Alligator mississippiensis: one gene and its partner. The protein of the gene in region 1 interacts with the protein of each later gene in a biochemical or structural test. Links are inferred from orthologs where the notes say so. Each region holds a gene or a part of one and is shown on either strand. Other genes may lie near its edges. The genes, in order: NFKB2 and BCL3.

The links.
Region 2: the proteins of NFKB2 (region 1) and BCL3 form a complex in vitro, tested with the Homo sapiens proteins (2 studies listed by BioGRID). The link is inferred for Alligator mississippiensis from reciprocal best matches to the Homo sapiens genes NFKB2 and BCL3.

What each region holds. Positions count from the first base shown.
Region 1 is NC_081829.1:18,181,108-18,196,267, forward strand, and holds the start of NFKB2 (nuclear factor NF-kappa-B p100 subunit), read left to right. Parts: upstream 1-7,403; 5' UTR 7,404-7,502; intron 7,503-12,244; 5' UTR 12,245-12,280; coding exon 12,281-12,301; intron 12,302-12,430; coding exon 12,431-12,509; intron 12,510-12,929; coding exon 12,930-12,970; intron 12,971-13,638; coding exon 13,639-13,737; intron 13,738-13,974; coding exon 13,975-14,126; intron 14,127-15,071; coding exon 15,072-15,160. Other genes in the region: transmembrane protein 150A, read left to right, coding at 4,550-4,794. UniProt on the Homo sapiens protein: NF-kappa-B is a pleiotropic transcription factor present in almost all cell types and is the endpoint of a series of signal transduction events that are initiated by a vast array of stimuli related to many biological processes such as inflammation, immunity, differentiation, cell growth, tumorigenesis and apoptosis.
Region 2 is NC_081838.1:31,116,866-31,132,230, reverse strand, and holds BCL3 (B-cell lymphoma 3 protein), read right to left. Parts: upstream 6,154-15,365; 5' UTR 5,182-6,153; coding exon 4,887-5,181; intron 4,553-4,886; coding exon 4,369-4,552; intron 3,532-4,368; coding exon 3,423-3,531; intron 3,246-3,422; coding exon 3,044-3,245; intron 2,815-3,043; coding exon 2,726-2,814; intron 2,632-2,725; coding exon 2,554-2,631; intron 2,437-2,553; coding exon 2,269-2,436; intron 1,806-2,268; coding exon 1,685-1,805; intron 1,579-1,684; coding exon 1,160-1,578; 3' UTR 624-1,159; downstream 1-623. Other genes in the region: CEACAM19 (carcinoembryonic antigen-related cell adhesion molecule 19), read left to right, coding at 7,211-7,244, 7,676-8,056, 8,268-8,427, 8,572-8,609, 8,753-8,838, 8,926-8,964, 9,031-9,078; carcinoembryonic antigen-related cell adhesion molecule 5, read right to left, coding at 9,659-9,706, 9,821-9,856, 9,993-10,084, 10,200-10,280, 10,359-10,646, 10,793-11,068, 11,232-11,591, 12,178-12,311 and 4 more. UniProt on the Homo sapiens protein: Contributes to the regulation of transcriptional activation of NF-kappa-B target genes. In the cytoplasm, inhibits the nuclear translocation of the NF-kappa-B p50 subunit.

The DNA of each region.
Region 1 (15,160 bases):
AATTACTGGAGCGTGCTAATTGGAGCACTCCAGCAGCCTCTGCATCTCATATATCAGCATCTCTGTGCTTCAAAATGGCAACAGGAGTGCTTTAACTAAAGCTCACTCGATGAACTTTAGTTAAAGCACCCCCACTGCCATTTTGAAGCACAGGAATGCTGATACATGAGACCCTGTGTGTGCTTTAATTAGGTAGCAGGAGCTCCAATGAGGCTAAAGAAAGACTTGCTGGCTCTTCAGGGGCAGTCTAGATCTGTGGTCTTTGCATGTGTTTGCTGGTTGGTGGTGGACTATGGGGCCATTGAGCAGTACAATTCCATGGGTTTCTCCATCATACCCGTAAAATGCAGTTTCTGCCTTGGTGTTGTCTCACTGAGCCGCTGACAGCATTTTGCATCTGGCTTCAAGCAGGCTACACAGAGCACTTGAGCACTGTCAGTGCTCCAGTCTAGTTGGTAATGTGGCAGCATGGTCTGACACACTGCACGTAGGCTCTGGTATTTTCCTCAGTGCAGATTCAAATCCCACTACTGTGAAGACACAACCTTCCTTTATTTCAGAGTCTAAACCCTTTGGAGCAGGGACAGCTTTGTGTTGTGCTTGTCCAGCCTCGTGCACACCAAGGTCTTGGCTGTGGCTGAGGCACTGGTGCAACATAAATAAGAGGTTGCAGTGTGTTTGACCCTTGGCCCTGACCAAGTCAGCCACCTGAGAAGTCTATAGGTCACTGTATTGAAAATCTAGGGCTAAAGGAGGGAGGAGGGAAAGGCTATAAATGTCAAGTGCAAACACCAGAAGGAAACCCAACTAGGGAGCTAAATTAGAGACATGAATATAGGGAAAAGTAACACAGGCTTGGTGAGAGAGGCAGTGTGTGGGCAGCTAAATTAGCAGGCATGAGGGTTTGCAAACAAAGCAATGGAGGAGGGGGTGTTGAGACTAAGGGGAAGTTGTGTTCCCTGGAAGAAAAGCCATTAGTGTCTGGGCTGACCCAGCTGAGGCTTATTTGGACTGAGGTCATGGATAAAATGGGAAAGGAAGGTGAAGGCTCTGTGTGGCTCTAGAGCCCCTGGCAATATGAAAGGGAGAGGAGGCCTGTGCAAGAACCATGGGGAGTCTGGCTCCTCAGAGGTGCTGACTGAGAGAAGAGTGGCTGCAGGCATGGATGGATCTAGGATTTTGAAAAAGGAGGTGAAGATGGTGTGGTGCAGCATTACATATGATACAATGTATTTTTCTCCAGTTAAAGAGAAACTAGAAAACTCACTAATATGCTAGGTGCCACTGATATATTATTCTTTTAAGATGAAAGCAAAAATCAAATATAACTATAGGAATGTGCATTAATTTGCTAGATTATATATAAAGTTTGAAAACACAATAATCTAGGCAAAATAGTCAAAAGGTATTGTCTTATTATTCCTGTAGTCAGCATAGTTAAATGTACACCTCTTATTCACATTTGTAAAACAACATCTAGCCTTCTTGAACATCTTGACAGTGTATCCATCACTTCACTGTCAGTCATTTCCATAAGTGAGTTAAAGTTACCATACATGAATTAAGGTTTTTAGCTAGGACTAAAAATAATATGCAAGGCTGTGAAACAGAAGGGAGATATTTCCAGGAATGGCTAACAGACAGCAAGATTGAGGAAGAAAGCATAAATTAATTAATAGAACATCAAGACTATTTAAAAAGAAGAGAGGGTCATTAGCACCTGAGATTAGCAGGAATCGGGTATATTACAATGAACCATGAAATCAGTTGATTTCCTCAGTGCTGCCTGAATAGAAATGCTGTCTCTCCCAGGCAGTTGGCTATAAAGTTTGAGTGGAGCAGGAATCAAAAGGGGTGCACCACTGCACACCCCCCCCCCCCATATCTGCCCTTGGATGCGGGCATGGTGGTTTCAGTTGTGATGCATATCCATCTGGCTGATGGGATCAGAAGATTGCTCAGGCAGGACAGATAGCTGTGAAGTAGGTCTGTCTGGCCAGTGATCACACTGGGTTTGAAATGCTGAGGTTCCTTACAAAGGGCAGAATATTGAATCCCATGGGTTGCAAGAACATTGGCTGGGTGCAGGGAGGAGTTTGGATACTTAGGGAGGGGCTGGGATCCAAGTTCAGTTAGTAGAATCCAGAGTGGCTAAAATGCAGGTAAAGTCAGGCTGGCAAAGCACAGAAATAGAAGGAGATGGCAGGGCATTTAGGGACGTGAGAATGGGGAGGAAGGCTGTGGTCATTGTCCACACACTGTGGTGACTGGTGGTCTATAAATACCTGGAGAGAGAGGACAGCCAGTGAAAGGGGCACTTGGAAAGCAAATAGATTTCTGTGGAGGTTACAGACCCTGGGGTGTGTGAGGTCACCAACCTATGGGGGATTGGCCCATATCCAGAAGGAGTAAAGGTGACTGATTGAGGCCCAGCAGTGTCTGTGGGGAGTTCACACATGAGCCAGAGGTCCGGATCCTCTCTTGCTCCCAGTGGTTGGTCCCCCTCTAGGACAAAGTTGTGACGCATGAAACCTTTGGATAGAACCGTGGGCTCTTCCTGGAAGAAAAAGCAATGGCAGTAACCAGTTGAGACTTGCAAACACTTTATCAAATAAATAACTGCTGGGGTTTTTTTAAGAAAGCACGTCATGAGAAGACTTATTTGCTGCCAAGTGGAGAACTGTTGGGGATAAGAAAGGAACAGCTTCTGGGAAATCCTTTCCCTCTTATCTTTCACAGCAAGAGGGTGCAGGTCTGGGCATCTGGTCCCCCAGGATGGAACGCAGGGTGCAAAGTAGCACAGAAAAAAGGCAGCAAAGTTAACTCCTCAGAGGATCTGAAAGTAATAAATTCCTCTGCTGTCCTAACTCACCCACAGAAACTGGGAAGGGAACTAAGAATGTGCTTGGAGAGATCCGTGTGGATTCTGGAGGGCTGGGAAGTGTGTGGCAGAGCTTTGTGACTGGGAGGAACCAGGGTGTTGGCAGTCAGTGGGCTTGTTGAGCTGGCATGGTGGGTCTCTGGAAGGGTGCCATGAAAAGCCCCTTGTTAGGAGGCAGCAGGGCAGGACAAAGAAGGTTGAGTATGAGACTTATTCTGAGGACTGTGGGTTCAGGCCCTGCCCTGGGTGAGCTTTGAAATGCTTTGGGGACCCTGGTTTGGTAGCAAGGAGCATTTGTTTAGAACTTGTCCACTGGTCACTAAACTTGCCTTAAGTCCTTCTAGGCTGTAAATGCCTGCCTTGGGAGATGGAAGCTGGTGGGTGTGTTGCACTGTAGAACTTGTGTATGAGAAAGGAAGGGGGTAAATCAGAAGAGGAGGAGGCTGCAGGAGAACTGGTTTAGCAGCAAGAAGATAAAGGTGAGACAGAGGTGGAGAGCAGTCAGGAGTAGAGTACTCAGACCAGAGCAGGGCCCAGCCTTAGTCTGAGGAACTGGGGCTTAGGGCTGCAAACAAATGGAAGAGGCAACCAGAGCAGGTGACCATATGTTGTACAAAGGACCCCTGACATGGAAAAGGAGTGTAGGAAGAACCCAAGGTAGGAGCTTTCCAAGGGACTGGAGGGAGTTGGGCATCCAGTTCCTCCTGAAACTCAGTGGGAAGTGGGTGCCTAGTTCCCACAGGGAATGTGCAGATCTCTACCTGGGGCCAGCCACATGATCTTGGTGGCGAAGGGCCAGAGGATCCCTGCTGCAGATAGAGATTGCCCTGATGCGTGCGTCTCATGGGGTGGTAGGCAAGTGTGAGATTCCAAACTTGATTGTTCCTTGCATACTAGTACCTGCTTGACAATAGACTTTGTGCTGGGAGGATCAGGCCGAGATGATCATTAACACCCTTGGCTGTGCATGAGAGTCCCTCTCCGCCCCTGCCATGGGAGACTTCTGTTGGCATGCAGGAGTTCATAGGTTGATAATCAACCCACTAGGACCTTTGCTGGTAAATTCGCTCCAAAAGGCAGCTGGACGTTCCAGTTCAGCACCTCTGTAAACTGCCCTGTCAATAACTAACTTAATGAGGGGGAGGGAGTGGGGGGAGAGATGGGATGGTGCTCCTCAGAGGCTGGACCCCTACGCAGGCAGTCCTTGCTGGGACTGGAGGATACTGGTGGTTGTGTTGTTCTTCATGCCCACTAGTTGCATCTGATCCAGGGCATGGTCCTGCCTCCAGGCAAGTGAATGGGGACTTCTGCCCCTGTTACTAATGGGAACAGGATTAAGATCAGCTTCCAAGTAGAGTGAGCTGGCTCTGCCGCTGGCTGAGTAATCCGGGGCTGGGGGATGAGGGCTGCATCCCCTGCTGCTTTGGGGCTATATATCCATCCTGGGGACTGGTTCTGGGGGTAGGGGAAGGAGTCGGGTATTTCTGGTACCCAGGTGCTGTGCTGATTTCCTGCAGAGGCTGTCAGCACATCTTACACTAACTTGGGCCTGTCCCCATGCAGTCTGTCTTCCTGGGTGCCCGGTGCAGCTGCCTGCACCCTTCCCCCTGGGCAGAGATGCTTTGCCTGGCTGTCTGTGGCTGGTTTCCTTGACTCTGGCACCCCCAGGTGGCGTGTTCTTCGTCCAGGAGAGCTTTGTGCTCCAGCATGTGGCCGCCCTCTGCGAGTGGGTGTTCATCATAGATGTCCTGGTCTTCTACGGTACCTTCACATTTGAGTTTGGAGCCATTTCCACGGAAACCTTCCTGGTCCTCCTGAAAGCCAGTCGGGCTCCAAAAAGCTACAAAGCTGACAGCAGCACATCGAGCACGCCTCACATCCACAGCCACTCGGAGAGCCTGGCCATGATTTGAGGGGAAACTGCTCCATGCGGTCTCAGCCTGTGAGTGCCAGGGAGCTGGCCAGGGGCTTTCAGCGAGACCAGAAATCCAGACACTGCCAGCAATTCTCTTGCCTTGAACATATCCAGAAGCCAAGTGGCCTCCCACAGTGTGTTGTGCGTGGGTGTTTGGCTGACTGGGGCCCTGACCCCAGCTTTCCCTCGCATGAGTCATGCAGACAGCATTACAAACTTACTTCCCACACTTCCATGGTATCATCACCAGCAGCTTTTTTACAGGAAAGAAGAAACATCTACTTCCCCCATACCAAAGAGGTCTCCATGCAGGGGCAGGGAGGCACTGAACAGGATGAAAGGTGGTAGGATCCAATTGACTCCCCAGTCAGCTCAATATGTGAGGGGACTCAATGTGCCTTTCCTGGGTCTGTGGTGGTGAGAGGAAGACAATCGCCTTTGAGGAGGCACATGCCATTCCCCGCAGTGAAGGGGATGGCATCTGCCCTCAGAGATGACCCATTTCTGTTCTATTAGGGGAAGGCTTCTCTGAGGACCAGAGACAGTACAAGAGGACAAGTTGGCCAGTTCCTTCTCTGCTAAGATACCAAATTCCTTTGGACCAGCCAGGCCTGTTTTTGTTTGATGTTGAGAAATCGCATCCCCTCCCTGCCTGGCTAGCCTGAGCAGTGGGGACATAATGATTAGTAAACAAAGCGTCAGATCTATCCAGATGGATTGAAGGTGGCCAGACAGTTCGACCCAAAAAGTACAGATGCCTTAATTTTTCTTCCTGCAGATGTGTGTTTTTTTTACTATCATTATTTTTAATATACAATATCAGAGCAGTCTGAGCAGACCCCAAGTGCCTATGGCAAAGGTGGAATCACTTGCTGTTTTGGTTCTTAGATGGGCTTCCACCCTATGGATCAAGCCGTGAGGGCTTATCCTGGCTGGTTGCTTTCTGAAGATTAAGTGAACATCATAGAGAAAGTAGTCCTTGTAAAGAGCCCTTCAAGGGTATCAGCCATTCTGGAGCTAGGGTGGAGGCAGCACTTTAATTCTAGGGGCCCTGTTTCCAAGGGCTCTGACTTCTCAGGAACCCCCCCCCCCCCCCAATCCTGCCATGCTTCCTGTGTGTTCTCAGCCCAAAGGAGAATCATTAGACCAAGTTTAATCTTCCATGAGGCCTTCTCTGAATTCTTGCCACAGTCCTCCTCTACCTCCCTCTGCACGTATCAGAATATCCTTTTTATATTACAATAGTGCCCAGAAGCCCTGCTGTGCTAGGTGTTGTATGTGCACACTGGAGAGTTGGCAGGGATTTGGCCAGTTCTGACACTACACATCACATATCAAGTCCTCAGAGGAAAGGACAATTCTACCCTTCTGCATTGTTGCATGGTTGAATTTGTCAGTCATGGTTCTGCACCGTAGTATAGAGGAGTGCTCTTTGCAGCTGTTAGGCAATTCAGCTTCTCTATCCACCTCCCTGGGATAAGATCAGTTATTACCCTTCCTACATCACAGGTGAGGGAAACTGAGGCATAACAAGGTATAGTATCCACCCCAACACAACGTAGGAAGGTCCTGGCAGACCCAGCCATGACTCTCAGCACGAGACCCCTGTCTTATCTTGCCTGTCACCAAATGTGCCTTTGACCCATTTTTGGAAATGGTCTGTTCAGGCATGCTGTGACTGTGGCTGTGACTAGAAATTGCACCCCACACACACAGTGGTGCTTCTTCACCTCACTGATTTGCAGCCCAGGGCTATCTTGCTCTTCCCAGGTAGCACAGCCTAACTCAGGACAAGAATAAAGCCAGCCAGAGCTACCAAATGTCAGTGGTTGCCCTAGACTGATCCTTGCGCAGGTTTCCTGGGACACAGGAGGAGAATCCAGGTGGATCAGCCTCAGCTGTGTGAGTGAATAGAAAGGATGAAGTGTATTTCTCCCCTCCCCACCCTTGCCCCTTGACAGGGGCTTTTGCCGCTGTGGTTGTGTGTGTTCACTTGGCTGCGTTTCCTGATTTGTCCACCTTTCACATGGATTGGTCTGCAAATGTGCCAGTGCTCACAGTGGAGAAATTATATATGTATGTAAAGAATCTATATAGAGAGAGACATACATTTGCAATAATAAAATTAAAAATCAGCCAAGCATGAGGAGCTCACTTCCTTGGGGAGGAATGCCCTAGCGCAGCAGAGGCGGGGAGCTGGGGCAGGTGCAGCAGGATATGAGACTCCAGCCTCCGGCAGTGGTTCCCAGGCTGTGTGGCTGGTAGTCCAACGCCAGCTGGCTTTGTTTCCAACCCTAGCACCCACTGGAAAGCCCCAGCTTTAAGTATTGCTTAAGCCACTTAAGGGCACGAGTCCCGTTGGGAGTCCCGGGGCCCGGACAAGTCCGTCCCTTGGAAATCCCACCCAGGCGATGCTGCTTCCTTAGGCGATGTCCAGGCCCGGGGGCGGGGGGGCATAGGGCCGATCCTGTCTTAGGCGGGGCTGGGCTGGGCGCTCTGGGGAGCTGCCCCAGCGGGCTCGGCGGCGGCGGCGGCGGCGGCGGCCGCAGGGACGGGGCGGGGAGGGGCGTCCCGCGGCCGGAGGCACCGCCCCGCGGGCGGGAGCTGCAGGCGGGGCTGAGCCGGGAATCCCCGGGGGGCGGTGCCTGGACGGGACTTTCCCGGGGCGGCGGGAGGAAGAAGGGACGACGGCGGCGGCGGCTGGAGGTGAGGGCGCGGGGCCGGGGGTTGCGGGAGGATCCGGGCCACTGCGCCGCCCTGGGGCAGGGCTCCCCCCGCCCGGCTGTGCCGTCGCTCCGCGGGCCGCGCCGCCCCGCTCTGCCCGTCCGTGCGGCGCCGGGAGCGGTGGCTGGAGGCCGCGGGTGTCCCCTGGACACGCGCCGGGTGGCCTGCGGGCTGCTGCCCGGGGCGGGCGGGGACTGGACGCCGGGGCCGGCCCCCGCAGGCAGCCTGGGCCTGGGCGAGGTGGCCGCCGGGGTTTGAAGCAGGTCGCTTGGGCCTAGCGCCTCTCCCGGGCGATGGAGGGGATGTGGGCTTCATTGCTGCCCTCCCTCGCGCCTCTGATCCCGCTCCGCCAGGCTGTGCGGTGCAGCTCGGGAGCCCGGGATTTGCACCGGAGGCTGAGGCCTCAGTGGAGGGTCAGGACCAGGCAGGATAATGAGATCTGCTTTGCTTGGGAAGGCAGCTTTGCGAGCCCCTCACTTGTTCCCATTTTTAAATCCACCAGTTGTTCTCCTCGTTGTGAAGGGGCAGGTTACCCCTCATTTCCTAGAGTTAATCGCTCCTGAAAAGGCTGTGGCTGAAATGTGAGGGCTGCGGGGGCACCCATCCACAGCCGGGCAGAGCGCCCCTAGAGGAACGCGGCTGACTTGGGAGACTTTGGACATCTCGGGGCCTGTAGTTCCAGGTTGTGAAAGGAACAATCTCAACAGGAGCCGTCTTGGGAAATCTCAAGCGGGGGTAACTGTGCTGGGTTCTGGCTGTAGGAGATGTGTCCTATAGCCAGGCTGTGAAGGAGCTGCCCCTAAGGACAAGGGGCTGGCTAGACACCATGGCAGATGTGACTGATGGGGGCAATCCCTGGCAATTAACATGTGGCTGCCATAGGAAGGCAGATGTGGGACAGCAGGAAACGTGGGTGACTGTTTATCAAACGTGTTTCTGACACTTTCTCTTCAGTAAGACCCACTTCCTCCCAAAACATTGTGTAAGCTCCGCACTGCACGCGCTGAGCAGCTAGAGAGCAGCCCCTACCAGCCGGGCAAGATGCTCTGGGCTTGTGATGCCAGGAGGGTATTTCTGGGTGATAAGCCCTGTGTGAAGGCTTTGGTTGAGCCTCCCCGTGAGGCTGTGCTGTGGATGAGGACTGACTGCAGTGAGGTGAGGAACAGAAAGGAGGGCATCCCTGCATCCATCTGCTGCTCCACGCATCTGCTAGTGCTTGGGGGAGGGCACTTGTACAGAGCTGGGGAGTTGCTATACTTGAAGGCCTGGGAGGGGAAAGGGCCTGTGAATTTCCCCAGAAGGCAGCAGTCGGGGACACGAATGATTGAAAGTGAAGCTGGTAAAAGGTGGTCTGCAGGCTCCAGATGGAGAACAAGGGAGAGGAGACCAGTCAGGCTGCAGTCTCATCTGGACAGGTAATGAGCATTTAGCACTTCCATGTGCTGAGATTTAGGAGGAAAGGCAGGAACAGGCTGATGAGGGAAAGCTGGTATCTGAGTGCTGTGCTCAAACCTTGTGTTCTGCTCCTGGCTCTGACACCTGCTCCCTCTATGGTCTCAGGCAAGTGATGCCACCCTTTGGGGGCTCAGTTTCCCTTTCTGTAAAAAGGGGGTAATCTTCCCTATTCCCCCAGGTGTTGTGAGAGGCAATTCCCTGATGCTTATGTGCACTAGGATTGTAGAGTGCTGTCCACTTGGCAAGCACTGTGCGGAAAAGGCTACTGGAACGTATTTGGATCAGCTTGTTCAGCTGAATTCATCCTGGAGGACAGCATGGTCTTGCTAAGGTAGTGTTGATGTCCCCATGACCTGGGAACCTGTGGAGGACAGGTGAGGTGATGGACAGGAGAAAAGGGCAAGCTGCCAGTGGTAAGGGTAGTAGGGGAGGGAGTAGATGATGTACAACGGGAGCAGGCTGTTAATAACCCAACCAACAAAGGAGTTGTCTTACAAGCCCCTAGAAGAAAACCAGAGGATTAAAGCAGGAGGCAGCTTAGATTTGCCGTAACTAATGTAATGTCTGTGAGGAGACAGCAAACTTGCAAAGGCTGGCTCTGGGCCCGGCCTGTCCCTATGGTCATGGGGCTCCTCTGATTTCTAGGAATCGGGGGAGGGTTGTGCTGTACTGCAGCTGAGACTTTTGTGCTGCTGTGTGGGGGTCGGAGGGGAGGACTGACAGGGGCTGCACTGGTTTAATACAAGCTCCTGGGACAGAGTACAGCAGGCCAGATGTTTCAGTGCAGGGATGTGAGGCCAGGAAGCTGGGGCTGACATAGCATGCTTTTCATAAACAGGACCTGAGTTGAGCTCAGCAGTAAGGCATCCAGTAAAGGCAAAATTTGGAGAGGCTCCTAGAAAGAAAAGGAAGAGGAGAGGAGCAGCTAGCTCTAGGGATGTGTAAGGAACTTCAGAGGGGGATCTGGGGCTATGCGTCATCCCTGGCACTCCTGAAGCATCCGTCCCCATGACCACAGGGTGCCCTTGCTATGTACGCATCTCGAAGGTGGAATGTGTTTCCCTCCCACCCAGAAGATGATGAATTGCATGAATCGGATACTACTGCAGAAGTAGTACCTGTGCTCTGTTCCTGGGTCACATCCACAGGAGTTGGGTGTGAAAAAACAGTGTTAATCTGCTCTGGGTGGCAGGGCCTGGACACTAATAACTGAGGCAGCTGGTGTAACTGGGCAGTGAGGTCTACAGTCATGCAGCTGTCCTGCAGAGGGTGCCATCCCTGCTCCGTGGCCCTGGCTCTGACTGTGGAACAGGCCTGGAAAGTGAAACTCACTTGCATCTTACAAGTACTGGCAGAGACAGCCCCACTATTACTCATAAAATCTTACAGCTTGTGGTGGGGCTGCCTCTCCCTATAGTTTGGCCTACAGCTTCTCCATGCTCGGGTGCTCAGCCCTAACATACACATCTGACCTGAGCTTAAAGGTCACTTAGCAGGTTAAATTGAGGGGGGGGTGGGCAAGAACAGTATTAGGAAGCAAATTTAAGCTAACAGAAGCAAGTTCTGTTTCACATAGCCTGTAACTAACCTGTTGACACAAGGTGTTGTAGAAACTGATAACTTAATTGGGTTCAAAAGAGGATTAGATAGTTCATGCAAGATGGGTCTATTGGGGGAAATTTAAACATTTCACCTATGGATGCAACCTCCAAAATAGGACTTACCAGCTTCCAGCCCTGATTTAGAGGCCTAGGAAGGAAAAAGGGGGGGGGGGGGGCAGGTTGTCCTCCATAAATACTTTCTTCCCCTTTGCATTGGCTATGTGCTGCTGTGAGATGCAGAACATTGGGCTAGACAGATCCATAGTCTGACCGAGTATATGCTTTTATGTGTGCCCTGGAGACCAGGGACAGAGAGGAATGCACCACATGAGATGAGGACACCCCTCCAGACTGTTATCTTAAGGTGTTTCTAGTCCCTCCTCTCCTAAAGAATCCTATAGTGCTCGCACAGCTGCATTATTGAAATTGGGTGGAGAGCCAGAGGCTTTCAGCCTTTTCTTGAACCCCTGCCCTCCCGCAGTGAAGGAGACTCTCCAAGCAAGGGGGCGGTTTCTTAAAAATAGAGCAAAACATTTCACTTAAAAAAAAAAAAAAAAAAAAAAAATCTTGAAGCTGGCACTCCATTGCATGCTCTGGGGAGAGGCTGGGAACAGCCTTGTGCCAGACATAAATTGTGCTGCTTTTGTTGTGCTGCTGGGAGGTGCTGCTGGACTACAGCAATCGCTGCAAGATGAAAGCCTATGAACAGTGGAACATGGGGCCCAGCTGTGGAGGGGGAGGACCCACTGTGTTGAAGGACATGGGTCCCATTTAGGGAAAGTGCCACTGTCCCCACAGAGCTGACAGTTGGTGGAAGGGTGTGTGGCTGGGGCAGGCAAGCCTGTCCTGGTGGCTGGAGTGGCCTGGAGAGGATTTGCTGGATGCTGTCTGTAGTGCGGGGCAGTGCCGGGGAGCGGGGGGCTCTGGAGCCTGCACCTGTTCTGTTGCGGTGTCTGGAAGTTGCCAGCGTGTGGCGGCTCGCAGCCCTGGGCCTGCTCTGTGATGCTGGTTTCGTGGGACACGGAGCCCCACTCCCCGTGAACAGCACCTGCTTTGGGCAAGCTTGCTGGGCCGGGAGTGCGGGCAGGGAAGGCAGAGCCCATGCCCACGCCCCCCGGGGCTGCTCATCCTGCTAGACTTTGGCCAGTGGGAAAATCTCAGCACGGAGGGTTTTCCTCCTGTAACTTCTGATGAAAATGAGTCAGTGAGTGTACAATCCCCTTCCTCCTCCTCCTCTTTCCCCCACACGCCCAAAATCCCCAGCGGCAGGACCTACCGGCAGCCAGTGATTCAGAAATTTCATGGTATGAGAGAGAAGTAGAATTTTGTTTTCAGTTGCTTAACGCCGGGCAGAAAGGACTCTGGAAAAGGCCCAGGTGGCTTTGGGCCGGGCCTTCCCCGCGCCCCGCTGTGCCCGGGGCCGGGCCGGGCCGTGCGGGGCCGGGTGAGCCGGGCCGGGCTCCGCTCCGGGGCGCGGGTGCCGCGGGGCGGGCGTGCGGGCGGGGCGGCGCCGTCATTTCCAGGCGGCCGCGGGCTTCTGGGGACTTTCCGGCGCGGCGCCGACTTTCCTGCTCGCCCGCGCCGGCCGGGCCGGGCTTTCCCCCGCGCCGCGCGCTTCCTGCCGGGGCTGCCCGCGCCCGGCCCCGCTCACCCCGCTCTCGCCCGCAGGCCCGGAGCGCGGCAGCAGCGCGGCGCGGCGCCGCCATGGACGAGTCCTACAACCCGGTGAGTGCGGCGGGGCCGGGGTCGGGCCGGGCCGGGCCGGGCCGGGCCGGCGGGGGGGGGACGAGACGGGACGGACGCGGGGCAATCCCGGCCTCATGCCCTGCCCTGACCTGCCCTGCCCTCTCCTAGTGCCTGGACGGGATCGACTATGACGACTTCCAGTTCAGCTCCCACATGGTGGAGCACAAGGAGCCGCTGATGGAGACAGGTAAGGCAGAGGCAGGTCCTGGCAGCACCCTCGGGCCCCGTCGCTTGCCAGGTGGGCAGTGGTCACCTGCCCTGCCCGGCCCGGCCGGGCCTGGCTGGCTGGAGCATCCCAGGGCACAGCGCTGGCCTGTGATCCATCCCCAGGGGCTCCCCATCCTGCTCTGCTCCTCTCATTCAGGTGGGTGAGCAGGGCCATCCCCTTCCCGCTCAGCCCCTACCACGAACCCCAGAAACACTGTCCCACTGCCGAGGCTATGGGACCTTTGCCCGTCCTGAAGTTCCCATAGTGCCAGAAAGAACTGGCTGCAGCTCGGCGAGGGTGTCCTCGGCATGGCCTCCCACCCATCGCTGTTGACCGGCATCACCAGGACGGGGGCAAGCTCTCTTTCTTCCCTCAGTATTTTTCCTTTCTTCTCCCCAGCCGAAGGCCCGTATCTTCTCATCATTGAGCAACCAAAACAGGTAAGGGCTTGGCAGCTCTGGTCTCTCTGCAGCAGTGGTTTCCAAAGTTTTGTTTGCAGCCTGCTTAGTGGGTGGGATGTCGTGCTTGGGGCTGCATGACAGAAGTGACCTGCAGCGCACCACCTCATGTTCAGCAGATGTAACAGAACATGCCTTGTACAAGCCAAGTAAGAACAGTCCAGGATCATTGCTTGATTTCAGCTGGAGTAAGACTTACACACCCGACTTACCTTGCTGACAAATGTGCCGGGTCAGCTCACATAGCTGAGTGCCTCCAAAAAGCAATTGGAGAAGGGGAAACTGCATGTTCAGTCAGCTTCCAGGCCCTTTATAAGGGAAGTCTCTTATCCTTAAGAGTGGATTACTGGGCTACTGCTAAGGTTTGTCAGTCAGCTGCTTCTGAAGGGTCAGTGGCTACAGCTTCGCCAGCCAGCTGGTTCTGTTGAGGACAGCCACCGTTTTGAGTCCCTGCGTGGGTCACACATTGGGAACCGCTGCTCTGGACAGTGGTGTTTCACCATTCTCTGTGGTGCCTTCTGGTTGGGGAAGCTGGGGCTGAAGTCTCTGTGAGCTCACTGCCTTGAATGTAGGGTCCCTGTGCCCAGCACCCTGGTTGGCAGGGCTGCTTGGTCTCTGGTGGTGCAGTGACATGGGTTCTGGTTTTGCAGCGTGGGTTCCGGTTCCGATACGGCTGTGAAGGCCCTTCCCATGGTGGGCTGCCTGGAGCATCTAGTGAGAAGGGACGCAAGACTTACCCCACAGTCAAGGTGAGCACCAGGCCCTGGAGGAGACAGTGCTGTTCTGCCCAGCCATGGGGTACTCCCTGCACCTTGTCTGGCACGCTGGGGGGGGGAGCCTGTACAGGGCATGTGTGTGCTTCACGGTGCTTAGGATGAGATTTATTCCTGCCATGGGGAGATTGTAGACGGGGTCTGAGGCCAGAGCTCACGGGGTGGAGGTTGTCATGATTATGAACTCTCTGAGAACTCCCCTTTTCCCTACAGATCTGCAACTATGTAGGCCTGGCACGGATTGAAGTGGACCTGGTGACCCACAGTGACCCCCCACGTGTGCATGCCCACAGCCTGGTGGGGAAGCAGTGCAACGAAGCTGGCAATTGCATTGTGACTGTGGGGCCCAAGGACATGACAGCACAGTATGTACTGCACTGCTGAGGGCTGGGGAAGGCTCCTGCAGGCCCTGGCTAAGGGATGGCTATGCCGCAGTAGGGTGATGGGCTTGGGTAATGTCCTTTGTGCTTAGTGTAGGGAGCAAATGTGTTAGGACTGTGCCCCTATCCCAGCTGCACTCCTGTGCAGCCTCTCCTTTTGTTCACAGCTCAGCATCTTCAGCAATAGCATCAGGTCCTGGTCCCTGTGTTGGGGGTGCTTCCTTCCTCTTGTTCTGCACCACACAACCTCTCCCCGTTAGCTCCCACTGCTGTTGTCTAGCTGGCACCTCCCTTCAACCTTCATGAATGACTGGCTGTATCTGGGCTGCTTGGAAAGGTCTTACCTGACAATCCCTTGCATAAAGCTCCCTTCAAAGCCCTTTGCCCATGCCAGACAGCTGGGAGGCAGGTTTCGTGAGCATATCTGGAAAGTCCCTTGAGGCTGCTCACTTCTGACAGGACCAGTTGGGTGTGCCAAAGGGCACTGGCTGAAGTCTTGAGACTGTGTTGTGGGGCGAGGCAGACGCTGTGTGTGGGGTACTCTGGACATGAGGCCTAGGGGCCTTCACTCCTAGTAGCTTTCATCAAAATCCAGCCCATGTTGTCAGCCCAGTCTGACTTGGATTCCCCAGGCTTGTGCCATCTCCTGAACCTCCCCAAGCTTGGCCCTGCCCTCCATACTGGAGCTAGCTTGACCCTTTCCCAGCTTCCCAAATGGTCCCTTCTATCAAGGCCTCCTTAGGGAATGCATACATCAACTCTTTGCTCCTTAAGTGCCCCTCTTGCTGGCAGATTTAACTCCCTGCTGCCAAGGGCCTCGCTCAGCCCTGTTTCAGTGACTGGCATCCCCTCCTGCATCCCTCTAGCTGCAGCTGTTGAGCAGGCTACTACCCCACCCCCGTGCCCTTGCTCACTGATCATCTCCCCTAGGTTCAACAACCTTGGGGTGCTCCATGTGACCAAGAAGAACATGATGGAGATCATGAAGGAGAAGCTGAAGCAGCAGAAGTTGCGTAACA
Region 2 (15,365 bases), on another chromosome or scaffold:
ACTGCCCCTTCCTGGCTATCAGACCGCTCCCTGCATTTCCTTCCTTCCCCCAGGCTTGGAATAGAAAACCCAGGCGTCCGGGCAGCCCCTCCCCAAGCTGGCAAGGGCCAGGACCTGGCACAAAACAGCACCCACCCCACCAGCTGCTCTGCCCCCCCTGCCCCTACTAGAAATGGATCCGGGGTGTCTGGGGTCACCCCCTGCCCTTTGGCCAGCTGCTCCAGCACAAAGGGCGCAGTAATGGGGCAACTGCGGGAGGGTGCAGCTGGCACTTTCCCAAACCTCTGCCAGAACCACCAGAGCAGATCCACTCCTGGGCACCAGCAGGGCAGGGGGTTGAGGGCCAGGAGTGGGGGGCACTGGCAGGGATGAAGGGGGCAGGAGGTTGCGGGTTGGGAGCGAGGGCACCATTGGTCCTTCTGTCCCTGAACCAAGAGGTGCTGCCCCGCCCCCCCAGCAGCCATTTCTGGGATGACATCTCCCCCCATCCATCTGTCCCCTCAGCCCCCCCAGCTGCCCCCTCTCACTGCCCCTCACTCCTGACCTGCAGCCCCCCAACCCCCAAGTCCCTGGAGACAAAAATCTGCATTAAAAAAAAACAAATATTTTATTAGCTGCATCAGCAGCACACCCCCTCTCCCCCCTCACAATAAGTTACCCCCCCTGGAACCCCCCATTCAAGTATTTGATGCTGCCACCTGGGGGGGCAGGGGAAGCAGATGCCCCCCCAGGCAGACCAGGCTGTGTGGGGTGCAGCCTGGCACTGGAGGGGTTAATGCTGTGCCTGGGGGGGTGGGGGGGCTCAGTGCAGGGGACCCCCCCCATCATCTCCAGCCAGGCCCTAAATACCTGCAGGAGCAGCACCCCTTTCCCACCCCACTGGGGGTGCCCCAGACTGGGGGGGGCTAGGCTCAGATGCCCCCACCCCTGCTACATGCCATGGGGGTCATAACCCCACCACCCCCAATGCCTGGGTCCCACAGTGTTGGCAGGGGAGGCGGACAGTGGGGTCCCACAGTCCTGACTGGGGTGGGGGCCGGATGCCTGGGTTCCCCATGGGTCGGTGGTCACCCCCCATGCTACTGGCCCCAGGGAGGGGTCACCGGATCACGGCCCCTGGGCTGGGGTCATGGGGCCACAACCCCCAGGGCTCCCAGCGTCAGCTGCCCCCCCCACCCACTGCATCAGGGGTGCGAAGCCTTGGCCCTGGCCCTGCCCCAGGGGGCGGGCTGCCAGCATCCCTTGGAGGCACGTGATTGGGCAGTGGTCCAGAGCCCAGCAAAACAATTGGCCTGTGGAAAGCGGCAGGAAGCAACGGTGCAAAGTGATTGGCCGGAGCATCCAGGTTGTGGTCCAGCCGTCCATTAGCCAAGGGCAGGGGGAGCTGACAGCCCATTGGCTGCTCCACAGGGGACAAGATGGGGCTGCTCTCCCGCTTCACCGCATGGTGGGTGAGGCCTGGTGTTGACGCTCCATTGGTCCCTTCCGCACCCTCTGCTCTCTGATTGGGTGTAGCCGCTTGATGGGCCCCCGGCGTCTGGGGGGGGCTGGGGGCCAGCAGGGGGGAGCTGGAGAGACCTGAGGGGGGAGGGGGAATCAGGAGCTGCCCCCAAAGACCCCCAAGGGCCTCCCCCACCCAGCCCCAGGGAGTCCAGGCAGGGGGGGGCAAGGGAAGGGGTCTCACCGGTGGGGCTGAGGCCAGGGGAGGTGCTGCCGGTGGTGCTGGGCACTGGCGAGGCCCCATCCCCTGCTCTCTCGGAGGTGGGGGGCGGGCGCGAGGCCTTACCCCGCAGGATGTCAATGACCTGGGGGAGGAATGGGGGGAGGGGGAGGTGAGCACCATGGAAACCCAGGACCACCCTGGTCCTGGCTATGGGGTCCTTTCAGAGGTCTGCCCCTAGAGACACAGGGCAAGGCCCCGAGGGTCCCCACCCCAAGGCCCCCAAATGACCCCCCCACCCCTGCTATTGCCTATGACCTCCAAGGTCTTCCATGGCCCCTGCCCTGACCCCCCCCCCCCCATTGACCTCCCAGCTCTGCCATGACACCCCCCCCCCCGGGCCAGCCTCCCCGGTGCCTGCCGCCAGTGCTGCCACAACCCCTGCCCTGGCAGCCTGTGACGTCCCAGCTCTGCCATGACCCCCCCCCCAGCCTTCCTCAGGCCTGCCATGACCCCCCTGACCTATCCTGAGACCCCCCAGCTCTGACATGACCCCACCCTGACTGCCCCCAGGGTTACCCTGCTCCCACCCTGACCCACGCCCTCACCCGGCGGTTCTTGGCCACAGCCAGGGCGGTGTCGTTGTGGCAGTTCTTGAGGCCGCCGTCAGCACCCGAGCGCAACAGCAGCCGCAGCGCGTCCAGCAGCCCCCGGCCGCTCGCCACGTGCAGCGCCGTGCACCCCGCGTACGACTGCGCGTTCACACTTGCCCCCTGCTGCAGGGCACAGGGAAAGGGGGCTCAGGCCTGGCGCAGGCACCGTGACCCCCCAGTGCAGCCCCAGCCCAGGGTGCAGAGCCCACAACTGGGTGGGGGGGGCATTGAGGGTCTTACCTGCAGCAGCAGCTCAGCCATGGCCAAGTCATTGTTCTCCACCGCATGCAGCAGCGGCGACCGCCCGCTCTTGATGTCCTGGAGGCAGAAAGGGGGGGGGGGGATCAGAGCCCATTGGGCCCCCCAAACCTCTCCCGCACTGCCCCCCATCGAGCCCCCTGACCCCGCTCACCGCAGCGTCTGCGTCAGCCCCATGCTCCAACAGCAGCCGGGCGGCCTCCTGGTCCCGCGCCGCCACCGCCACGTGCAGCGCCGTCAGCCCTGTGGGGGCAGGGGTCAGCTGGGGGGCAGCGCACCCGCAACCCCCCACGCAGCTCCTCCAGAGACCCCGCCACCCATCACCCTGCCCCCCAGGATGTCCCCAGGGACCCCCAAACTCCCCTACGCCCACACCCTGGCTGGGCCCCCAACCACCACCAGGGACCCCCCAAGAGCCCCCGATCCCTCGGCCCCGCCCCAACCCAATAGTCCCCCCAGGGCCCCCGCTCACCCTCGTAGTCGCGCGCCTCGAGGTCGGGCGGCGGGCGCGCGCCCAGCAGCAGGTCGCGCAGGCAGCGCGCGGCCCCGTGCTCGCAGCACAAGTGCGCGGCGCTGCGGCCCTGCCGGTCCCGGGCGCGCGCCGAGGCCCCGTGGGCCAACAGGAGCCGCACGAGCGCGGCCTGGCCCGTGATGGCGGCCACGTGCAGCGGCGTCTGCAAGTAGGGGGTGGGGGGGTCAGCACAACCCCCAGGGGCTGCGGGGCAGGGGCCGCCGGTCGGCACCGCAGCGCCCCCCGCCCCCCGCGGAAGCCAGCGGGAAAGCCCCGGGTGGGGCCGCACGCGGTTCCGGGAAGGTCCCCGCCCCGCCCCGCCCGGCCCCGCCCCCCGCACCTGGCGCAGGTGGTTGTAGACGTCGAGCTCGCGGCCCCCCCGCAGGAAGAGCGCCACCAGGCGCCGCGCGGCCGCCACGTTCCCTTGAGCCACCGCGATGTGCAGCGCCCTGCGGGGAGCGCGGGTCAGCGGGCGGCCCCCCCGCGGGGATGGCGCCGCAGCGAAACCGAAATCGGGGCTTCCAGTAACAGCCCCCGGCGGCCACTTCCTGTCCCAAACCTGCCCCCGCGCCTCCGGGAGCCGCCCTCCCTCTCCCGGCTGCGAGCTTCCCCCCCCGCAGTGCCCGCCAGCCCCGCCCCCTCCACCCCCTGCTGCAACCTTCTCCAGCAGTGCCCTGCCAGGGACTCCCCCGCAGTGCCCTGCCAAGTCCCTCGTCCGCCCCCGCACAATGCCCTGCCACCTGCACCTTCCCAGTGCTGCAGCCTTCTCCAGCAGTGCCCTATCAAGCCCCTCGCTCCCCCGCTGCGAGACTCCCCCCCCCCCCCCCGCAGTGCCCCGCCAGCCCCATCCCCCAGTGCTGCAACCTTCTCCAGCAGTGCCCTGCCAAGACCCTCGGCCCCGCCCCCGCTGCGAGCTGCGCCTCTGCAGTGCCCTGTCAAGACCCCTCTCCCAATCCTGTGAGCTTCCCCAGGCTTCGCCCCAGTGCCCTGCCATGGACTCCCCCCCAGTGCTGCGAGCTTGCCCCACAGTGCCCTGCCACGGCCGCCCCCCGCACACTGCCCTGCGGTGACCCCCGCCCCGCCCCCGGCACTGTCGGGGGAAGCTCGCAGAGCGGGCACAGGGGAGGAAGTGGGGGGGGGTGCCCTGTCTGCCACCCCTTCCAGTAAGGAGGCGGGGCGGCGGGCAGTGACGCGTGGCTGACGTCACGGGGCGGGGCCCGGGCGGGGATTCCCCGTGCCGGGTGGGGTGGGGTGGGGGCCGTGCCCCATGGCCCCCCCGCACTTACGTGTCTCCGTCCTCGTCCTGGCGCGTGGCCGCCGCGACGTCCGCCGCCAGCTGCGCCTCGGCCGCGCCCGGCAGGGCCAGCGCCAGCGGCACCGGCAGCGGCACCGGCAGCGGGGGGGCGAAGCCCAGCAGCGCGGGGGGGGACAGGCAGGCGGCCAGGTCCGCCGGGAACGCACCGCCCAGGCCTGCGGGGGATGGGGGTGTCAGGCAGCCAGGTGTCCGGGTCCTCCCCGCCCCCCCCACGCAGGGCCCCAGGTGTCCGGGTCCTGCCCAGCACCCAGGGCCCCAGACGTCCGGGTCCTGCCCCCCCTACCACCACCACCACCCAGGGCCACAGGCGTCCGGCCCCTGCCCCCGCTGCACCACCAACCCGGGGACCCAGGCAACCGGGTCTCCCCCGCCACTCCCCCCACTCTCCCAAGGGACCCAGCTCCAGTGAACCCAGGCGTCCGGGGCGGGGGCGCCGTGCAGCGCCGAGCACCTCGGCCCTGCGGGACCGGGGCCGGCATCGGAACCCACCTGGGTAGCAGCAGGCGGGCGACAGGCGCGGATAGCGCAGGGCCAAGCCGGGCCCGCAGCAGCCCCCGCAAGGCCCCGGCGCGGGGGGCTCCGGCTCCGGCTGCGCCTGCGGCCTGGGGGGGCTCCCGGCAGCGGCGCTCGGGGGCTCGGGGGGGTCCCGGTCCCGGCCCGGGTAGCGGCGCTTGCGCAGGGGCAGGCAGGTCTCGGGCTGGCGGGCGGGGGGCGCCGGGGGGGCGCGGGGGGGCGCCTCCCGCCGCCACGTCCGCAGGTCCACGGGCAGTTCCTCCGCCGCCATCGGCCCGTCCCGGGCCGGGGCCCGCAGCCGCACGCCGGGGTCCTTCAGCTGCAGGCGGGGGGCGGGCGCGGGTCTGCAGCCGCACGCCTGGGCTCCTCAGCCGGGGGCCGCAGCCGGGTCCCTCCCGCGGCCGGACGCCGGGGTTGTTCAGCCCGCGCCGGGGGCGGGTCCGTGCAGGCGGGCGGCGGGACGGGGCTGGCGGCCCCCGCTCGGACGCCTGGCCTCTCCGGCTGCCGGCGCATCCCCCCCCGGCGCTGAGGAAGAAGCCGCGGGACTTCCCCGCCGGCTCAGCTGAACCCCGGGGACTTTCGGAGCCGCCCCCGCCCCGCCCCGGCCGCCGCTTCCCGCACTCCCCGCCCCGGGGCGGGGCCGGGGACCCCCCCCGGGCGCGGCCGCAGCAGCTGGGAGGGAGCCCGGGCGCCCGGGCCGTCGGAGCCTGCTCCGGCTCCTGCCCCAGCGCCGGGATCGGGGCCGCCGGCGGGTGTGGGGGAAAGGGCCCGAGAGGGGGACTTCGCCCCTGTCCCGGGCGGGGATTTCCTGGGGCGGGGAGAGGAATCATTAACGCCCCCCCCCCTCCCCTCCCGTCCCGCGGTACGAGGCAGCGCCGAGGACAGCAGTGCAGCCGGGGCACACGCGCGTGAATTGCACAAGGGGAGGGGCAGCTGTGAGTGCCCCGGGCTCGGTGCTGCAGCCCTCACCTCCGGCTCCGCCTCCCCCCGCACGGCACCGGTGACCAGAAGCGGCGGCCGAGCTGGAAAGTCCCTTGCCCGCCACCCTCCCCCTGCCTACTGGGCCGAGTCCGGGGGGTGGTCTGCAGTGAGACCCCCGGGGCTGGGGGCGGAGCGGGGCACACGGGCGTGCCAGGGCTAGGCGGGGAGTGTGAGCGGGGCTGAGCCCGGCAAACGGCTGGGTGCACCTGCTGCCCCCCCCGCAGGGGACCCAGACGTCCGGGCCCGCAACCCCCCCTCAGCTCACCCCCCCATAGATTACCCGGGTGTCTGGCCCTAGCCCCCCCCCCCCCCCCATAGATTACTCGGGTGTCCTGCCCTAGCCCATAGATTACCCGGGTGTCCAGCCCCAACCCCCGCCCATAGATTACCCGGGTGTCCGGCCCCAGCCCCCCATACATTAACCGAGTGTCCGCTTTCCCCCACCCAGGCGTCCGGGCTCCGATCCTCCTCCTCCTCCCCCCCCCCCCCCGTTTCTGCGGAGCAGCGACGACACCTGGCGGCCTCACGTGGCACCGCACCGCACCGGCCCGTGCACGCCCCCCCGTGTGAACACACGCTCACACTCTCTCACACACGTGTTGACACGATACACACACGCGTGTTGCCGTGACACGCGCACACGCATATTGGGGCGCACGCGCGTTACCACAACACACACACACGTGTTGACACTCCACGGTTAACACGCCCCACACGTTAACACGCGACGCGAGCACACATATGGGGGCACACGCCTGTTGACACGCGCTGACGCACACGCGTGTTGACACACGCACCGTGCCTCAGCCTCCGGCCCAGCCAGCTCCGCCGGTTCCCGGCGCGGGGGCGGACACACTCCCACGGACTCACACGGACACACACACACGAACACACACCGGCAGGCAGGAAAAGGGGGTGCTGCGCCTCCTCCCCCCAGCCCAGCGGGACCAGCACCGAGCCGGTGAGACCGTCACCGGGGGCCCGGCCGCCTCGGCTCTCTCCCTGCCGGGGAGGGGTCAGCGAGGTCGGGGGACGCTGGGAGCCCGGGCGCCTGGTTCCCTCCAGCCGGGGAGGAGAGTGGGAGCTGGGGGGGGTAGAGGGGGCGGGGCGCTCGGACGCCTGGGCTCTTCCCGGCCCGGCCCCCCGGCCCGGCGCCAGGGCTCCGGCCGCCGCGGTTCGCTGCCCGCCCGGGCCGTGCTGCACCTGGTGACGCGGGGGAGCAGGTTCCGCGGCTCTCGGTGGGGCCAGGCGCCCGGGACGGCCAGCGACCCCCTCCCCTACAACTCGCTCTGAAGCCCGGGTCTCGTCCAGGGAGGGCGATGGCAGCGCCCCGCTGCGGGGCTCGGCTGGCAGGTGAGGGGCACCGGGGGGCTGGGGGTCGGGAGTGAGGGGCACCAAGGGACTGGGGGCTGCGGGTCAGCGGTGAGGGGCACCGGGGCGGGGCGGGGCTGCGGGTCAGGATTGAGGGGCACCAGGGGGCTGGGGGTCGGGATTCAGGGCAGCTGGGCAAGGGCCTGCAGGTTGGGAGCGAGGGGCACCAGAGGGTGCGGGTCGGGAACGAGGGGCCCCAGGGCGGCTGTGACTTGGAAGCAAGGGGCACCGGAGGGCTGGGGGGGTGCAGGTCGGGAGTGAGAGCACCTGGGAGGACAAGGGCCTGTGGGTCTGGAGTGAGGGGCACCGAGAGAGCCTGGGGACTGCATGTCGGACGTGAGGGGCACCGGGGGCCTGGGGGGCTGCCGGTCGGGAGTGCGGAGCCCCGGTCCCACCTCCCTCTCCCCCCGCAGCTCTCCCGTGGCCGTGGCTGTGGCTGTGGCTGTGGCTGGCGCTGGCGGGCGCGGACGAGCTGTTCGTGCTGGTGACCCCGGCCGAGCCCCGCGCCGGGGACAACGTGACGCTGACCCCGACCGAGCTGGGCCCGCTGCGCCAGGTCGACTGGTACCGCGGGGAGGGCGCGCCCGACGGCGGCTCCCGCATCCTCTCCTTCTTCCCGGGGCAGTCGCGGCCGCAACGAGACGGGGCGCGGAGCACGGGCCGGGAGCGCGGCCGCGCCGACGGGACCCTGGTGCTGCTGCGGGCGCGGCCCGGCGACTCCGGCCTCTACCGCGTCGCGCTGCAGCTCCTGCCCCAAGGCAGCCGCCGCGGCCAAGTGCGGCTCCTCGTGCGCGGTGAGCCGCCCCCGGCCCCATCCTCCCCGCACCCCGGACACGGATGCCTGGGTCCCCCCGGCTCTGAGCCTCCCGCAACCCCCAGGGCGCCTGATCCTCCCCCACCCCACCCCACCCCACCCCCCGCCCCGCCCCGGCCCTGGACGCCTGAATCCCCCGGCCCCGACCACCCCCGCATCCCCCCCGGCCCTGACCGCCTTCTCTCCCGCAGACGCCGAGGGCACGGAGCCGCCGCCCGCCTGGGCCCCGCCCGCGGCCCCGCAGTACCTGGGCTGGGTGGTGGCGGCGGTGCTGGTCGGGGCGCTGCTGGCCGGGGCGCTCGGCACCGCCGTCCTCTACCGCCGCCTGCGCCGCGCCGAGCCCGCCACGCGGTGAGCCCCGCACGCCTGGGCCCCTTCCCGGGGGGCTGCGCCTGGGTCCCTTCCCGGGACGGGGGCGGACGCTTGGGTCCCTGCCCCAGGGGGAGGGGGCAGAGGTCTTCGCCCCGTCTCTCACCTCCACCCTTCTCTGTGCAGAGCCATGGGCAAGCTGGACCCCCAGGTCTCCGGCAGGAGTGAGTGAGGGGCCCGGATGCCTGGGTTCTCCGCGGCTGGAGGTTGGGCTGGGGGCCCCGACACCTGGGTCCTCCCAGGCTGGGGGCGGTGGGGCTGGGCCTTGCATGCCTGGGTCCCATGCCCCCTTGCCCCGCCCCCCCAGGTGACAAGCAGCACATCTACGAGGTGATGGAGTCGCCGCTGGACTCCCCCCTGCCTGGGGGCAACACAAACCCCTGTGGCCCCCCGGTGAGTGTGCCCCCCCACTCGGTCCCCCGGACACTGTGAGGGGCAGCAGTAGGTGGGTTATAATAACTCCCCATGTCCACCCCGCAGGACCCCCCCGTAGAGCTGCCACCTGAGCTGCGCTACATGGTGAGTGCCCCCCAACACCCCCTGGTGCCCCCCCCCAGTGCCCCACCTAACCCCAGTCTCCTGCAGGAGCTCCTGAGCTGCGCGGAGTCTGTCTACGAGCAGATCCAGCGCTGACGTCACAGCCCGGGGCACCCCACAAGAGATCTGCCCCTCCCAGGAGACGCCCCCAGAGCCCCGGACACTCGGGATTAAAGAGCTCCTCCCTGCACCCTGCCCCCAGCTGCCTGGGTCCACTCTGTGCTGTGGGACGGGACCGGGACAGCTGGCTTCTCCCATGGGGGGGCCACACCTGGGTTTTCTCCCTGGAGCCCGGTTCCACCCCAGTGGCTGGAAGGAATGCCCAGCACACACCAGGATTAACCCTTTCCTGCCCTGCTGTGTATGTGGGAAGTGGGGAATGGACACTCCCACCCCTCCAGCACACGGCTCCCCAACTGCTGATTCTGGGTGGGGGGGTGAGGGAGATGGCTACCACGGTGATGCCCCCTAGACTTCCACACCCCGTTTCCATGGTGACTGAAACATTGGGGGTAGGGGGTGATGGGAGGGCACCCATCCCTGACCTCTGACCCCCGAAAGGCCTGAATGCAGAATGGGGCCAAGGGAGGCAGCAAACCAGCCAGGCTTTATTTGGTTACAGGGTAGTACATTTGGCACTTGCCCCAGCATGCACCGGGCTAGGGAGGGACATTGCTCAGGTCCAGAGCTCCTGATACAGGTCCCCGGCTCCGAGCTGCAACGTCTGGGGGGACACAGGGGAGGTCAGAGATACGGGTCAGACGGACACACCAAGCCCCTCTCAGGTCTGGGCCCTGATGAGCTGCCCGGTTCTCAGCAGCCCCAGGGAGGCCCTTACCTGGTAGGTGGGGTCGAGGGAGCTCCCGGGCTGGGCCTGGGCAGAGAGGGAGGCAAGAGGGTTGTTAGCACCAGAAACCCCAGGGGACCCAGGTGTCCCGGTCACCATAGGGGACAGAGGGGAAGGCAGGGGGCTGCGGGTTGGGAGTGAGGGTCAAGCCCCTGTCACTTACCACTGCCCCCATACAGGCCGGGGAGGGCAGGTTCTCATACACTTGGGGAGGCTCCTTGCTGTCCCGCGGGGTCTTCCTCCGACAGTGTCGGACTAGGGGAGAGGACAGAGGCTGAGACCAGGAATCCAGGTGTCCTGCCCCCCCCCCTCCACCCCTCCTTCCTCCAACAGCTGGGTGGGGAACCCAGGCATCCAGGTGGCTACTCACAGAGGACATAGGCCAGAGTGCCTCCCAGTGCCACGGCCGCTAGCGCAACCCCAGCCACGACTCCAGCCACAAGACTTGGACCTGCATCATGGGGGGAGATCAGGAGGGGGCAGAGACCCCCCCAGCCCAACCCCCCTGGTGCTGTCCGGGAGCACTCACCCCCCTGCCCTGAACCCAGGGTGATGGAAATGGAGGTGGTGGCGATGAAGCCGGTGCGGGGGTTGGTGGCACAGCACTTGTAGATACCCGTCTGCTCCATGCCCATGAGCACCAAGCTCAGGACAGCACCAGTGCTGGTGCTGGTCTGTGCCGGGACCATGTGAGAGGTGTGGGACCAGGTGAACTGCGGGGCTGGGACTGAGTCAGCCATGCATGTCAGGTTCACTTTCTCACCAGCGGGCAGGGCCAGAGGCCCCTGTGGGATGATGTGGACAATCTCCGGACCATCTGTGGGGAGAGTGAGGGGTGACACTGCCCACAGCCACCCCAGAGCCAGCCACATCCCAGGGTGTGAAACCAGCCCCGATGCCCACCCCAGAGCCAGCTGCATCCTGGGCCTGTGATACAGATCTGGCCACATGCACTGCACTCACAGATGACAGTGATGGTAACAGCTCTGCTCCGAATGTGGCTGATGCCTTTCTGCACCTCACACTGATAGTCTCCAGCATCACCACGGCTAACCTGGCGAAGTTGCAGTGTCCGGTTCCTGGGGGACAGCCGCACACGGCTGCCAGGCACCAGGATGGAGTCGCTGTGGAGCCAGCGCAGGGTCTCGGCGCCCTCGGGGGCCTCGCACGTCAGCTCCAGAGTCTTGTTCTCCAGCATTGTGTCACTACTGAACGTCACTGCCGGGGGGTCCAGGGGCTCTGTGCCAGGGTGGGGGGGTCACTGGGGTCCCTGCTCCCCCTGCAAGGGATTTTGGGAAGGGGTGCGGGGTGCAGGTGGAAAGTCACCTGCAGGATGCCTGGGTTCTCTCCAGGTCTGGGAAGGGAGCAGGCCCTGGGTTCTCCCGGGCCCGGAGGCACTCACCAAGCACAGCCAGGTGGACCGAGATGGAGTGGCCATTCCCGGGCATCCCGAGCAGCACGGTGTAAGGACCGGAGTCACTGGGCCGCAGCCCCCCCAGGCGCAGGGAGCAGCCAGGGCCCCCCGTCTCACGCCGCGTGTACCCGGGCCCGTGGCTCAGGGTGGCGCCACCCTCAGGCCGGTGTGTGAAGATCTCAAATTCACCTGCACGGTACCAGGTGCAGGCCACAAGGCTCGGCTGCGGAGGTGGCTGCGGGGTCAAGGTCACAGCTCCCCCCACCACTGTGGCCGGCGGGGGGTCAGGGGTCACAGTGATGTGGGTCTGGGCCAGCACCAGCAACAGGCAGGAGCCCAGGACAGCAGCTGTGGGTGAGGGGGGTTTAGACTAGCTAGTGAACCCCCCAGCCCTGGTGGTGCCCCTCCCGACCGCAGCCCCCTGCCCCCCCAGCCCTGGCGGTGCCCCTCGCTCCCGACCGCAGCCCCCTGCCCCCTCCAGCCCTGGCAGTGCCCCTCCCTCCCGCCCGCAGCCCCCTGCCCCCCCCAGCCTTGGCGGTGCTCCTCCCTCCCAACCGCAGCCCTCTGCCCCCCCCAGCCCTGGCGGTGCCCCTCGCTCCCGACCGCAGCCCCCTGCCCCCCCCAGCCCTGGCGGTGCCCCTCCCTCCCGCCCGCAGCCCCCTGCCCCCCCAGCCCTGGCGGTGCCCCTCCTTCCCGACCGCAGACCCCTGCCCCCCCCAGCCCTGGCGGTGCCCCTCGCTCCCGACCGCAGCCCCCTGCCCCCTCCAGCCCTGGCAATGCCCCTCGCTCCCGACCGCAGCCCCTGCCCCCCCAGCCCTGGCAATGCCCCTCCCTCCCGACCGCAGCCTCTCTGCTGTCTCCTGCACTCGTTTGCTCTGCTCCTGGGTCCCACCGACACCTCCCTGCCCCACCTTGCCCTTGGCCCCTCTCTCACCTGCCAGGAGGATCCCCCCCCAGGGGCGCGTCCCCATGGCCGGCGGCTGGAGGGACCCCTCGAGGCGGCCCAGCCCCACCACCCCTCCCGGCTGCGCGGGCACTTCCCTGTCCGGGTTGCAACATCCCCGGGAAGGGCGTTATTTGGGCTCCGGGCACCGCCTCTGCCCGGGTCCGAGGGGCACCGGCGGGGCCGGCGGGCAGGGGCTGCGGGTCGGGGTCGGGGCCGTGAAGCGAAAGCCCCTGAAAGGTGCAGTTCCCAGCGCCGCCTCCTGCCATAGCAGCCGCTCCCCGACCAGGGAGAACAGGCGTCCCGGCTGCCGGCAGGGGGCAGCGCAGGCGCAGTTCCCAGGGCAGCCACCAGGGGGCAGCAGCGCCCAAGACAGTGCCGGCCCCACCACAGCGCGGGGCATCGCCCTCCCCCTCGCCCCTCCCTCCCGACCCGCTGCCCCTGCCCGCAGCCCTGCCCCGGGTGAGCTCGTGGCTGACGGGGGGGAAGTGCAGAGAAGGGGGCAGGAAGCGCTGCAATCACGGGTGTCGCAAGGCCTGTCGGCAGGGGGCGGGGGACCTTCTCACGGGCTCCATACGCGTGTGCCCACGTGTGCTCCCCTGCCAGGAGTGCCGCCTTGGACCCCGTGTCCGCCCCCCCAGCTGGAGAACATGGGGCTGGGAGCTCTCCCCAGGCAGTGCCCTGGCACGGGCTGCACCCCCAGAGCTGTGCTGGTGTGAACAGCGCCTGGACCGCTGCCCATGGGACCCAGGCCCAGACCCCCAGACCCAAAGAGCAGCCAGGGCCCTGGCCCAGGAGGCGGTGGGGGCTACTTGTCGGGGCTGCGGCCCACGCAGGGTTAACCAGGTGCACGGGGCGGGGGTGGTACAGGAGTCCCCCCTTGAAGAAGGTGGGGGCCGGACGCCTGGGTTCCCTTCTGGCTGGGGGGGAGCGGAAGCTGCCTTGAGGTTTGGCCTGGTTCCTCTTTGCTGGATTCACTAGAAAGTTTCCTCCAGGGCCAGTCTGCTGCTCCAGCTCACGGAACCACAGCGGGTGCCAGGGAGAAGTCAGGCATGTGGGCCCCCAGCACCCCGCTGGCACCCCCGCCGCACTCCCCTGCCAGAGAAGCCAGGCCCCCAGCCCCGCTCCCAGCGCCAGGAGAGGACCCAGGTGTCCGGGGCTGCCTCAGAGAGCCGCATTTGCAAAGCAAATGGGGGAGTGCAGCTCCGGGGAGGGGGGAAGGGGAGCAGGGGCTGTGTATAGCGCACACGCCAGCAACACGTGTGCAGAGATGGGGCCAAAGCAGCCACACGCTGGGCCCAGAGCAAGCACAGCCATGGCATACGCATGTGTGGATCCAGAGTGTGCTTGGCCATGGCACACGCAGGTGCACATCCAGGGTGCGTGCATGGCCATGGCGCACGTGTGCGTGTCCAGCGGGTGTGCATGGCCATCCGTGTCCAGGCAGTTTCACATCTACAAGCCACGGCCTCGCATGTTTTTATTACAAACACAGGAATCAAGGGATGCCTCAACCCCCACCCCCGGCCAAGCTGGAGGGGAGATGCCCCCAGGGCAGAGAGGGGGTGGGAGCCAGGGATGGCCCCCCCAGATGTGAGCCCCCCCACCCCCACACTGCACAGCTCTGCAAAGCAGAGGGGAACCCAGGCGTCTGGGCCCCCAGCCTCCCCGCTGGAGCACAAGAAAGAGCCCAGGTGTCCTGGCCACTGCCCCCCACCCTCACCCCCAACCCAGGCCCACAGCACAGGAGAGCCCCGGTGTCTGGGCTGCCTGGGCCCCCCGGGCTGGGGGCCCAGGTCACTTCTTCTTGACCTCGGCGTAGACAGTGGTGTCGGCCTTGGCGGGGCCTTGGGGCCGCGGCGTCTGCAGCCCTCCCGCCCGGAAAGCGACGGAGCTGTAGCTCACCTCCTCCTCCTGCTGACAGGGCGGGTCAGGAGGGGGGGACCCAGGTGTCCAGGCTCCCAGCCCCCTGCTCTCACCCCCACCCCCCAGGGGGCCCAGGTGTCTGAGCCCTGCCAGTCCTCACCTTGAGGGGACCGCTGCGGGTGACGTCGGGCCCTGGGGATGACAGAGACGGGTTAAAACAGGGGTCCCAAGGGCTCAGCCCCCTGCCCCCAAGCAGCAACAGGGGCACAGTGTTGGTGACACCTCAGGGTCTTGGGACAGGGGAAGTGCCTGTGATGTCACTTCCTGTGTGCTAAGGGGGTTCCCATGATGTCACTGGGGTGCCCCCCACTCTCCCACAGCCCTCAGCACTCACCATGGGGGGCCACAGGTGTCCTGGATCCGGTTTGCACCGGTTTCTTGCTGTGCCTGGGGAGAAAGCAGTGTGAGCCTGGGAAGGGGGGATGGGGAACACCCTCCCCCCCATGCCTGTCTGACCCCTGCCTGTCTGGGCAAATCCAGGCTCCAGGCCCCCTCCCCACCCAGACAACCCATGTGTCCAGGCTTCAGGCCCCACACCAGGCCAGTACCTTTTGCTCTGGCCCCAGAAGTAGTAGAAGACAAAAACAAGCAGCCCCAACCCCACCAGCGTCCCGATGATGATGCCAGCGATGGTGCCGCCTGACAGACTTCCTGCGGGCAGATAGGAGGAGGCTCAGCCAGGTGCAGGGTGGTATGCAGCACCCAGGTGGCACCAAACCAGATACAACGGAGGGTCAGGCTGGGACTCAGAGACCACCACACCAGGGAGGATTGGGCCAAAAGAAACCCCAGGGAGTTCAACAACCACAAGGACAAAGTCCCGCATTTCAGACAGGACAATCCCGGGGTGGGCCGGGGGCCAACAGGCTGGGCAGCAGCTCTGCAGAGAAGGACCTGGGGTGACAGGGGACCAGAAGCCAAATAGGAGCCAAGAGTGGGGCCCTTGTGGCCAAACCTATCTGTGGAAACAGGAACGCAGTTAAATTGCAAAAAAGGGCAATTTTCATCACATGCAAGCAACCAACAAGGCAAATGGCACCCTGGGCTGCGCTTGTAGGAGCATCGCCAGCAGATCAAGGGCAGTGATTCTTCCCTCTATTCACCACTGGAGAGGGCACATCTGGAGTCCTGTGTCCAGCTGTGTGCCCTGCACTGCAGACAGGACTGAAGGGAGAGACCAGCAGAGGTCAAGGAAGAGGGTTCAGCAGCTGGGGAACAGGAAGGATGAGGAGCTGCTGAGGGAAATGGGCTGA